Linked DNA regions of Danio rerio. The protein of the gene in region 1 purifies or fractionates together with the protein of each later gene. This does not show direct contact. Links are inferred from orthologs where the notes say so. Each region holds a gene or a part of one and is shown in the gene's direction. Other genes may lie near its edges.

Region 1 (6,533 bases):
TCGGTCAATAGTGGGTAAAATAAATACTATGGAAGTAAATGGTTACAGGTTTCCAGCTTTCTTCAAAATATCCTATTTTAAAGAAAGAAGAATGAAACTCAAACTGATTTGAAACAAGTAAAGGGTGAGTAAATGATGACCGAATTTTCATTTTTTATGAACTATCATTTTAATCTGTTTTATATATATATATATATATGCGCCTAAATGTAAAATGACCCAAGTGCAGTGATCATGTATACACACATATATATATATATATATATATATATATATATATATATATATATATATATATATATATATATATATATATATATATATATATATATATATATATATATATATAAAATGTATACATGATCACTGCACTTGGGTCATTTTACATTTAGGCGCATGTTGTCAGTTCTTTATAAAAGCAACTCAAAAATTGCCAGTTTGATGTAATAATTCACAAGATATGTGTAAGACATTTGGTGCCCTGTCATTTTGAGAGCTGTCTGTTTATGAGATCTGCATACTATTAGCCACAGGACCATAGCCAGAGAGGGGCTTCAGGTCGTTCAAAGACCCATCCCTCACTGACAAAGGTCCAGAATTTTTTTTCATACATTAGCTCATTTGTCCTATTTTTACTCATATGCCATCATAAATAGTGAAAATAACCTATCGAAAAACCCATCAAATTACATGTTTTACAAGAGAGACTAGAAACATTGTGAAGCTCTATATTATTGTTGTTATTATTATCATTATTATTATTATTATTATTATTATTATTATTATTATTATTATTATTATTATTATTATTATTATTATTATTCAAATGGTCAAATTTTTTAAAGAGGAACGTTAAATGTGCTGAACAGTTTGTTATTTATATTTTGCCAAATAAATGACAATAGGCTTGTTTTTAATTTAAAACAGATTATTTTTTCCATAATGATATATAAATGTAATAAATTTGTATTTTAAAAAATAAGTATTTTTTTCATATTTCAAGCTAATCCGACTAGCCAATCCAGCTAAATGAATGCTTAAAATGTATTTAAATCTCATAATTAAATAGAAAATGTAGATTCATTTATTCATTCATTTTCTTGTCAGCTTAGTCCCTTTATTAATCCGGAGTCGCCACAGCGGAATTAACCGCCAACTTATCCAGCAAGTTTTTACGCAGCGGATGCCCTTTCAGCTGCAACTCACCTCTGGGAAAGAAAATGTAGATGTACAACTATAAAAAGGTTCACTTTTTGAGAACCACCACTTTCACCAGGCTTGCTGTGGGCCTGAGCTTAGCCCACAAAACAGAATATTTTTACATATAACAAGCATTTTTACACATAGATGCTCAAAAAATTAACAAGAGTCTTTAAAATCATTATCTGTTCTCTGGATTTGCCATTAGTAGGTCCGTTTGTGTTAAATGTTCATTTGTGTTGTAGAAGAAAAAATAGTACTCTGATAAGGTGTTTTCAGAATTACAAATAAGAATATTGTCATTTAGAAAATGTATTATATATTAAATTTTCACATATTCTATTACATTTTCACATATGACACAATGACTGGGTTTGTAAACAAAAATAAAAAAATCTGAGAACAAAAATCTAAGAACCAAATGATTTGTCAGACAAATTCCTTTCCTGAACAACTCACAAAAATCCACTATCAATCCATTTTAGAAATTGTTGGGATGAAGAAGTTTTTATTCACTGCATTTATCTTTTTATTTCAGAGACAGATTGTATAAGTTTCTGGTAGAATGTATAAATAATCAGTGTGGGTATAAATATCTGAGGTTTATAATGCGAAACTTGTTCCAGACAACAAAGATGGTATTCTCACAATCACAGCTGAAAGCTAAATATAGTTGGATCAGCACACATGTAATAAATTCCTGTTGTATTATAGTGTAGCTTGTCTGAAACAAAGCATATATTTTGAGTTCACATTTTGGATATTATTCATGTTAAAGTAAAACAGCTGAATGTTTTTTTTTTGTGTCTGCTGCACCTAGAACTTTAGTTCTCTGCTCCCCAAACAGCAACAATCAGATTGTGTGAAAAAAAAAAACTGTGTCAGTGCAGATGTGTTTGGTTGCTCTTTTCTGTCTGTGGAAATATCTGGGTTCTCTTTCAGACGAGTTGTTTTGTAAAAACAGAACAAATCTCTGGACTATGTTGACAACATTGTTGTCACAAGGTCTGTTTGCATCTTGTTGATGTAGCTGGCCTGTATAGGCCAACACACACAATAGCAGCTAACTTAAAATAGCGTTTTGCTTAATCGTTCATATGTTTAATCTGTAGTAGGTTATATTTTATAATTAATTTATGTTCAAAATTAAATCTGAAGTCGATTTTTATAAATATAAAATTTTATACATTTAAAACTGGGAACCAGAAATCTATGCCCTGCCTTTTTCGTCTCTCCTTCAATGTCAAATAATAATAACCACGGCGGACAAAAGATGTTATTCTGAGTGTTTGCTGCCACAGTTACCGAAGGCTATAATAAGAAACACCCCTCAACCAACACAGTTGGTCGCACTCGGCTCCACTCGGGCCTCTTCGGAACTCTTCGTCGACCGTCTCCTGGAAACCCCCCTCCCTCCTCGCCTCCGCCCATCCTCGCCAGACTCTCTGGGCTTTATGTCTGGCCGGGTGGACGTGAACTGCCATGCGCGGTCGCCATGTTATCGCGCTCTCCTCCCCTTTTCGGGGACTCGTCACAGGCTCATAGCACTAGCACAGGCTACATTACAAGGAGGCAGCTGGTGAATAGGAGCAGAGTGGGAGAGAGACATTGCGCTAACACAGGAATAAAACAAAAGAAAGCACGGGATGGAATAAAGCAGGACAGCGCTGAGTTGCTCGCTTTCTCTCTGTCATCTGACGCCGGCTGGAGGACTTAGTTTCGTGTGATTTCGTGCTCTGGTGACTGCGATACAACAATTGAAAATGCGCCTGGCAGTTTGAACTGTGATGGGGAGAAACCGTGTCGTTATAAGGTTGGATATTAATCGCCTCGGCCGTCTGTGTCGACTCCTGCACGCTTAAACTTCACCGATATGGTGTGCTGAGTGATTTAGTGAGGATATACCTTTGAAAACAACAGCCGAAGCGAATCCGTGTCGGCTAGCTCGCTAGCGACTGTTAACTTAGCATTGGCATTAGCCTGCTCCTCATGGTGGACATTTAAATACACCTCAAGTGGAATTATTGTGGCAGTTAGAAGAACGTGTTGGTTTTATGTGGAAATTACTCGAACGGCTTGAAGTTGCTTTCCCAAAAGAGCTTGTTCTCTTGAGCTGCGTTTATAACTTTGTCAGAGACTATACTCCAGCAATGAATCACCACGAACGATCCGGAGACTCCGGCAGCGCCCGAAAAATGGTTTACCCCATGAGTTTACCCAGACGGGAGAACAGCAGCAGCACAGTAGGTGGTTCCTCTACATTGACAACTTCAGCAAGCACCAGCCTTAATAGCAACAACTTGATGCTGGCGGATGAATATTCCCCACCAGTGCTGATTCAGTCTCAAACGCAGACTGCGTCCTCGCTCGGGCCCCAGAACCCTCCGCATAGCCTGAGTATCCCCTTGCAGACACCCATGTTACCCCAAACGTTGCCCACTGCAGTTGCACAGATGAAGAAGAAGAGTGGCTTCCAGATCACCAGCGTCACCCCGGCGCAGACATCTGTGAGCACCAACAACAGCATTACAGAAGACACAGAGAGTTGTGACGACCTGGATGAGTCCCACACAGAGGACTTGTCATCCTCTGAAATCATGGATGTGTCTCTTCCACGGGCCAACAATTCAGGAGGTCCTGAAAGAAGCTCCTCTGAGGAGACGCTGAATAATTTTCATGAGGCGGAGACCCCTGGTGCCCTGTCACCCAACCAGCCACCCATTATAACCCAAGCACACCTGCATGGCACCATGGTTAACGGAACTGTTCACCACCACCATCACCACCACCACCATCATCACCATCATAATCCTGTTTCCTCTGGAAAAACCCATCCTGCTGGAGGGACACTGATTGGGGTACCTTTGGGTGCCCCGGTCACATCTGTGGTGACCTCAAGTTCGGCTAGCACAGGCCAGAAAATGCCTTCAAATGTGGTGGGATTGATTGAGAATGCCTCTGTTGGCACAACTAGTGCCATCGGACAGCCTTTGGCTACTCTCGCCTCTGGAACTGGAGTGATTTCTGTGACTTCAGGTGCCACGATTAGTACTGGTAATACTTTAACTAATAATGTTTCCGTGTTAAACTCTGCCAGTGTGCCTGTTGTGGGTGGCAAGACTACCAATAGTAGCAGTGTAAACTACTCCTCTGCTTTGAATAGTATTAGTAACCAAACCCCAAACTTGACCCACGTTCCCAGTGGAATAATCGGCATGGGCATCACCGCTGCTGCCACGGTTTCCGGTAGTGTTGCGTCAACAGGTGGAGGGCAAATGGGGCCAGCTGTCATGGGGCAGCATGCAATGCCTGCACCCTCTGTCCCAGTGATGAGCGCTCAGCCTCAGCAGGCCCAAGTGCCTACTCCTGCCTCCACCAGTTCACGTTTCAGAGTGGTCAAATTGGACTCTACCTCTGAGCCTTTTAAGAAGGGTAGATGGACTTGTACAGAGTACTATGATAAGGAAGCCCCAAATGTGGCATCCTCTGAAAATGCCCCTAGCACCCGAACAGTGGAAAGTATCCGTCAGTGTGTGCCTGAAAGTGTGGCGGGACAGGACCGAGACACAGTCAGCGGGAGCTCTGTCAGCAGCTCAGCTAGCCATTACACTGAAAGTCTGGGCAGCGGTGAAACGGGCGGCCCCTCTACTGTGAAGCAGACCTTCCAGCAGCCCATGTCTCAGATGCAACCCCAAGACTTAGTTCAAGTGCATCTTAAAACGAATGCAGCAGCTCCGATGCCGGCAACAGCAAACATTCAGCAGCAACCGCCTGCATCTATCGGAGGATTGCAGACCACGATTGTTCAATCGTCTGCACCTCTACCCTCTCATATGCCCAAACTGACATATGCCCAAGCAGCCCAATCCCCTCCTGCTCAAGCTCTGCCTGTGGTGACCCAGCAGCAGATGGGCTATCCGCCCGCACAGCAGCCAGCTGCACCAGCCCAGGTAGCACCAACACATGTTAACCCCTTAAGCCAGGGAGGCAGCCTGCCATCTGACTTCTCCCAATCCAAGCAGATCCTGAGCACTGTGCCACCTGGGTCAACAAAAACTCTGCCCCACCTGTCCGCCTCCATCCCTCCTGTGGCTCTCGCTGGTAATGGTCAGATGATCACACCCTCCTCGCAGCCCCCTACTGCTCAGCCACTTCCGCAAGGGCTCCTGCAGCCACAACAGACACCCGCCCCGCAGATGGTCCAGGTTGTGCCGCAGCTGGTGCAGTCCACTGGCACCACTCTTATACAGCAGACACCAGGCCAGCAGCTCACCTCACAACCCTCCATGGAGCAGCAGCAGCAGTCACAGCTCGGCAGTCAAGCCCGTGGCACCCAGTTCGTCCCAGCCGTGACCTCATCAAGCGTGCCTCCTAACATTCAAAGTGATCCCCAGTCCAGTTTGTTTCAGAACGGCTCAAAGGAGACTGGGCCGCAACCTGCTGTTAGCACCCGGCCCTCGGTGATGCCGCTGGAGGATGCCCAGCTACTTCTGTTACAGCACCAGGCTCTGCTCGCACAAACCAAGCCAGCCGGTGGTGAAAGTGCCTCCCAAACCGGTACCTCTCGTGGTCCAGAGGGAAGCAGTGGAGTCAATGCCTTATCCGCCTCGGCCAGCCTGCTGAAGAGTTTACCTGTTGATGGAGAGGAGGATGGGTAAGTTCCACTGCTTGTTTTTTTTAATTGCATTGCTTATTTCAGTTCAATTTAGTTTGTAATTATTTCAGCTTTATTAAAAAAATCACACATGCAGCTCAGCATGGTGATCAGCATTATGCTTTAATCAACTGCTATCAACAAATTGTAGTGTGCAGTGAATATCACAGCAGGGCGATGGCTTTCCACAGCATAGCTAAAATCGCAAGCATAGCTTTTTTTGTAACCTAAAACTGTAGACTGCTAGACTGTATCTTTGGTATTACAGACAGAAAGATTATGCTTTCACCTAACAAGAATTTCGGTCTGCTTGGGGGGAAAAAGGCACACATGAAATCACTTGATAGTGCAGTATTTATGAACTTGACATTTCCTATTGAGACAGGAAGTTGAGCCTGTAGTCTTTTGTTTACCTCACAGCCTCAGACTTTTTTTTAATGCTAGTCGGATGTGTGTGTGTGTGTGTGTGTGTGTGTGTGTGTGTGTGTGTGTGTGTGTGTGTGTGTGTGTGTGTGTGTGGGTGTTACTGATAGGGACTTTTTCATTCTAGAAAGTTGGCCTGTACAATATATTGTTTCAGCATAGATTTTGCAACATGTGACTCTGCAATATTCACACTGCAGGATGTGCAATGTTGAACTGGGATTATAGTTGACCAGACACTACAGTGGAGTCAATG
Region 2 (6,507 bases), on another chromosome or scaffold:
CACTGCTTGTGAAAGTTAAAGTTTTTTTAACTTGATGCGCTGTCTAAAAATCGCACTGCTCATATGCAGATGTTAGGGTAACATCTCAAACATCTGTCAATTGTGTGTTTACATTGAAAAACAATAGAACAGCAGTGCATTGGAAAGAAAAAACGCAATCTGTGTGAACTGTCTCTTAAGCTGTAACAAACGGGGGCTCGTCCGGGATCTGAGCCCAAGTCAACTTAGCCTTGACAGTAGTTTGTGGTGTTGTAATTTGTTACATTTTATTATATCATAGTTTAAAGGATAGATTGAATTCTCTCCTGAAAGAACAAACTTCCTGAAATGGGTTTTTAATAATCTCAGTCTTGTTTCCTGTACAAACCTACATAGGTTGAAATTATGCAAATTTGTTGAAAACCTATATTCTTCATTGGCTACTTGGAAACCGGATTTGTACTAGTCCTCAAATACTACAGTTGTAGCTTGAGGCCTCAAAGAGATTGGTTTATGTTGTCAACATTACTGTTGTTGTTTTTGTGTTATAGAGGCAATTCATTTTGCATGTCCTTCCCAAGAACAAGGGCTCAACAACATTTCAGTTTGATTACTAGGTTTACCTAAGAAAGCTTCTGTTACTGAAATTCAGATATGGTTAAGGGCATATAATTTTTGACTAGTAGATAGACCAGTCACAACAAACTGATATTCTATTCGCACAAAAAGCTAAACGAAAAGGTACCACACATTCTAACCACATGCTGCATGGGTCATTAAAAGAAATGTTCCAAAAGTAAAGCGTTTAATAGATCAAACTGTCGAGATCTTGTGGTTCTTTTAGGCCATGGTTTAAGCAAGTAAAGCTATTCCGTTCACTTTTAGTGCAGTTACTGTTTTAATTTTTCTCACATCATGCAGTAAACAGCAGTATGAGATCAGCTCAGAAGAATGTTATTTCAGCATCCATAATGTCTTAGTGACTTACGCTAGTTTTAAAGCCAAATAAATCAAGAGCTATCATTCTTATCAGCACTAAATTGGAAAATGGCAGAAACATTAAGCTCCAACAATACAGTTGTCTACAAGTCTATCACAGTGTGTTTTATTTTTAATTTTTTTGTGGATTTAAAAAGCACTTAGCGCTTCATGTGAAACAGACACTCCTGGTGTACTGCTGGGGAAAAAAAAACTTTGCGTACGCCAGGTTTCACGCTCAGAATTGCTCACGTTTGGATTTACTAACAATGAACTGAACGTGGGAATGTGCGCAGCTTCACGGCAGCTTTCTGGCAGGCGTACGCACATTTTTTGTGCGTGTCTGTTTTATTTCCATTGGCGACTCCTAGAGGCAGTTGTGTTAAATTCCTCTCTACAAAGTGTCTGATCCTTGCAATGGCGTCTGTATGAGACAGGTTCATCTAGCAGGTATATAAGGTTTCCATACCATACAGTTGACCAGCTAAACATTAAAGCACAATTTGCAGCGGTCGCCTGTTTTCCCAATGTAATCTGAGCTATCTACTGCACGCACATTGCTATAAAGACACTATCTGAAGATGAATTTGCATGCGTGAATCAGAAACATTACCATTCAATAAATGTGCAAATAAAATATGATGCACAAACTTATTGGTGATTCCTACTTGTCTTTCTCGTGATAAATAGTGGGCAAAATCTGATATGTAGCAGGGAAAAAAGAAGAAAGAGTTTATCAGACGCTGGATTCGAGCCGAGTTTATGCTCGAGCGTGTCAGTACATGATCACATGCTTCTTATGAGGTGCGCCACTGAGACTGCTAAGAGAACTGCAACATTTTACAGATATAAACCACACTATTTCTTTTTTAATGCACTCAGTGCGATGTTCAGACCCAACTGTGTTAACCGTATCAGCTAAACTCTCCCACTCTATTTTTTTTCTTTTGTTGTTAATTCCGGAGAACAAACTTGCAAATAACACCGCTTTTCTCCAGTCTACCTCCGAAAGCAGCACCTCCAGTTCACATTCTGTTCAAAGTTTCTCTTTTTGCTTGATTTTGCCGTTGCTTTTTCGTTGGGTTTTGCAATTAGCATAGTCATTAGCATATTCATACGGGGGAGGAGGCAGGGAGTGGTTTTGTGCTCGTGCATGTTGCGCTCAGTTTCACGTTCATTCAGATGTACAAAAGAATATGCGTGAGATTCGGCGTACGCAGTGTTTCATACATCTGAATTTTTTTCTGCGTACGCACATTTACAGCTTTGTGCGTACGCAATGTTTTAGTAAGATTTCCACGCAAGTCTTCGTACATGAGGCCCCTGGTGTACTGAAAACAGTGCTTCTATTGGCATCAACTGAAAAAATACGCTCAGCTCAGATAAAAAATTCTTCAGTTGACATGTGTTAACTGTAAAAAGCTATAGTACTTGTTAAAAGCTATTAGTTACTAGTTAAAATTGTTAGTAGCTTATAAAGTTATGGTAATTGATAACCTTAACTTTTCTAAATTTGATTGTAATGCAATAATGTTTTGTAAAGCTGCTTTGAAACTATAATTATTGTGAAAAGTGCCATACAGATAAACTTGAATTAAATAGTAACTAGTTTAGATAAAATAATGTTTATATCAATTATTATGATATTGTTAACATTTTAGAAGTAATAGAATATACTGTATTTTCCTTTTTTAATGATGTATGCTTGTGGTGGTGGTTGTATATTTATTCTAAATGTCACTAGGCTACTGTATTTCATAACAAATCCATAAAACCATAATTTGAACTTTTTATAAACATTTGTATGGGATATAGTCAGCATTATTTATTTTATTATTAGGTTATTTGGGGTCATGTGTTTTGTCATAATCTCTCTCTCTCTCTCTCTCTCTCGCTCGCTCGCTTTCTGTTTCTCTCATTTAAGGTCGTACAGATGCAGTGCAACATTGAGCCTGTTGAGGAAGGAGCGAAACATCATGTAAGTTCTTTTTTTGTGTCCCCTGTGTTTATTACTGGGCTGATGTTATAGGTTTAGTCTACGTTCATAACTCTTCACTTCTCTTTTTATAGCTGACCTTACTTCTAAAACTGGAAGATAAGCTGAACCGACACTTGAGTTGTGATTTGGCACCAAGTGAGTATTTTATCAGGCCTCAAACAAACTCTACACAACTATGTAAACACTTCCAGCTACACAGTTGGATTTCACATTCTGTCGTGCCCTTAAACGTGTTACAATGCTGCACAAGTGTGTTGCGTTCTCAGCTGCAAGAGATGCTATAATGGGCATCAGTGCAGTCGGTTTTGTCTTTCAAGTCAGCTTAGCTCAGAAGCTTGCTGAGATGGTAAAACTGTTAGCTAGCTACCCGAGTACATGTTCGGTTTAATCCAGCAGGGATTTAAACCATAGTTATGTTTTATGTTTCAGGTCTAACATTCTTGTTTTTGTTCTGAACTGTCAGTGAAGCATTAGAGCTGTTCAGAAGTGCATCAGATTGATTAAGAATTGCCACATGTTGACACCTAATTTTCATAAAATTAAAATGATTAGAACTTAATTAGTATTTGGACACTTCATTTGATTGCTTTCTTTATCATATTTATCAATTTTATTTGATGCAGACACAAATGCAACATCACGTATGTTATAAATTATGAATTATTTATACTGAATTATTATTTATAATTCTAATTTGCATATATTTATAAACACAAAACAAAAATAATTATATTTTTTTATACAAATGATAACCCAAAAAAAATTACCCAATTTAACTAGAAGTAAAATAATCAGAGACATTCAGTTATTAATTTTCTTTTCGGCTTAGTCCCTTTAATAATTTGGGGTCAACAACATCACAACATCAACTGACCCAGCCGAGGCTCAAACAAGGCGACAGCACTACCTACTATAATAATATCAAAGAAACGCAACACTCTATCTAAACATGAGCATGTGGAATAAATAAGCTGCATGTGTAATTATTGCAAAAACAGTACTAACTTAAGAATGATGTGTGTGTGTGTGTGTGTTAGATGAGAATGTACAGGAGTTGGCTGTGGAACTGGTCCAGCTTGGTTTCATTAGTGAGGTAAGAAGCTTCATTTAGATGTGCTGAACACAACAATTTTTAAATGTTTTACGACCTTGTTTTTTCCCAGTTGTACATAACATTTGTATTTTGTTTATTTTCACCATTTCCTAAAGATTCACACCAAAATTTCAGTTTTTCTATCAATAGTTTTTGTTTTAAAATCTTACCAGGCATATTTACAAGAATTATTTAATGACATGTTATATTTTGATATGCACAGGTCAGGACAAGCATGTCGTTTCGTTTCAACATAAGTGTCATGTTTCAAAACATAATCCATGTTTTTATGTTTAGTTACTAAAGCGTTAAGTTTTGAAGTAGACATTACTTTCTTTTTATGTGCATGCAATATAATTAAATTCTTTTGACAATTTTATTTAACGTGGTCACTAAAATTGGACAACTCCTATTTGACCCATATGCGTTTATTTGTAACTTATTCAAAATATATATTTATTATAAAACTTATTAATGTATAATTGTTTGTAATTTAAAATATAAAATTTTTATTTTTAACCTATTTAATAAGGATTCTTTAATCTACATGAACACTAACAATTATACTTTAAAATAGTGTCATTAGTGTCATTTCACCACAACGTTTGTAAATATCAACCAAAGTACTTAATTTGAATCAAATTTAACTGTAAATATATTTTTTGTGTGGATTAAATGAAATAAGTACATGCTTAATGATCGTTGGATTGAAAAAAATCATACACATCCTAATCTGTAATGTCAGCCTCAGAGCTCTTTCTGGTATATTTCATGAGGTATATAGTTTATTGCTTGGTCCAGTAAGAGGTCACTGCTTTTTTTTAGGCCACTTTTCTATTTCATCTTTCATTGGTGGTATGTTATTGTCTTGGATCAGTATTGGTAAGATCAAACTAATCCAGATTGAACAATGAAGATTGACATTTAAAAAAAAACAATTGTCACAAAGTTAAGGCTGTGTCCGAAACCGCCTACTACTCAGTAGCTACTGCATTTGAATTTAAACATACTACTCAGCCGTTAAAAAAGTACGCTCTATACAGTATGAATGTGAAAAGTATGAATGGAATTCGGACGTACTACATCCGCCAGTTTGTCATGGTCACGTGACCTACCTGCGTCAGTTGCGTCTCCTCACTTCCATTCATGAATTCTCTCATGGGGCATTATGGGATAGCGCAGCGTGCATGGGATGCGCATTTCAGAATCTCGCCGGAAGTAGTAAGTCATCCTGGTACTTCTCCCCTACTGATTTTCGAGTTCTATGAATTCGGACATTAGGGGTGTAACGATATTAAAACCAAACCGAAATAGTCACGCCCCCTGCTGCCCATTGTTGAGGTTGACGTCACTTGTCTCTAACTAATTGAACCAATTTAAACACATCTTTAATATCATATTTGATTAAATTGTTTTAGTAATGATGAGGATTTGTTCTAAATATTATATTCTAAAGTTAGTATTTTAGTGCATGTTATGTCATGTGACTTGCATCACACTCGTTACTACTGGACGCAGGATGGCTGCTTCACATAGTACTGAGATTGCAGATCCCCCAGACACATTTAAGTCATCTGTGTGGAAACATTTTGGTTTTCCAGTTGAGTACAGGAATAGAATTTGTGTCGTAGACAAAGCGCCTGCCTGTCTGTCTCAACTGTTTCACGAAACTTACTTGTAAGGAAAAACATTTAAAAAGTGTGGTAATTTCACAATGTGAGGGTGTAAGCAACAGAACTGCCAACAAGAGTGATTTAATGTACAAAAGTAAAACCAGAATAATGCCCAAATATACAAAAAAAGTAATATTTACACTAATAAAATAATATAATAAAGTAACAAATTCAAACAAAAGTATCAAACAAAAATTAGTTAAACTCGAACAAGGGGGTGATAGTGAAGACAAACAAAAGAAATAAATATAATAAAATACTTCTAACTCATGAATAACCCCTCTTACCTCGCTAAAACTGATGAAAAGAAAAAAAAGGTCTTCAGCGCCGTGCGCCGCATTCTTCCCTATACTGAATAAAATAAACAAAGATGACCTTCACCTCTTACCTGATGTCTTTAACAATACATTTTCTACGTGTTTGCAAAATGGAAATCGTATGACATTTTCCCTATCCACCTTACACTAAGACTGAACTTGAGGATACAGCTATATTGTCGGGAAGGAGCGGAGCTAAAAAATAATATACAAATCAATTGAAATAAAAATGTACAAACCTCACAAAATTTCTTAAAGTGGGCAAAAGTAATGCAAAATAATTTTACCCAAGCGAAAGTTAAGCAAAAACAACGAAAATCATAATCATGTCAGAAAAATACACGAAAAACGAGATCAAAGGAAAAAGCGCTCTCTCTCCCGCTCTTCCTGAATTGCTTTTTACATTCCCGCGCTGCGTCGCCAAATGATGATAGGTCGGTCTCCTGACCAATCAGCTGTTAAAAAGGC

Evidence for each region. The genes of interacting proteins can lie anywhere in the genome.
Region 2: the proteins of tsc22d1 (region 1) and nrbp1 purify together in Homo sapiens (affinity purification with mass spectrometry; 6 studies listed by BioGRID and IntAct, with this or other methods). This does not show direct contact. The link is inferred for Danio rerio from reciprocal best matches to the Homo sapiens genes TSC22D1 and NRBP1.

What each region holds. Positions count from the first base shown.
Region 1 is NC_133184.1:20,415,123-20,421,655, reverse strand, and holds the start of tsc22d1 (TSC22 domain family protein 1), read left to right. Parts: upstream 1-2,703; 5' UTR 2,704-3,254; coding exon 3,255-5,854; intron 5,855-6,533. UniProt on the Homo sapiens protein: Transcriptional repressor. Acts on the C-type natriuretic peptide (CNP) promoter. Acts to promote CASP3-mediated apoptosis.
Region 2 is NC_133195.1:28,697,875-28,704,381, forward strand, and holds part of nrbp1 (nuclear receptor-binding protein), read left to right. Parts: exon of another isoform or gene 1-1,155; intron 1,156-2,276; exon of another isoform or gene 2,277-2,881; coding exon 2,882-2,935; intron 2,936-3,027; coding exon 3,028-3,091; intron 3,092-3,993; coding exon 3,994-4,049; intron 4,050-6,507. UniProt on the Homo sapiens protein: Required for embryonic development. Plays a role in intestinal epithelial cell fate and proliferation, thereby involved in the architectural development of the intestine potentially via the regulation of Wnt-responsive genes.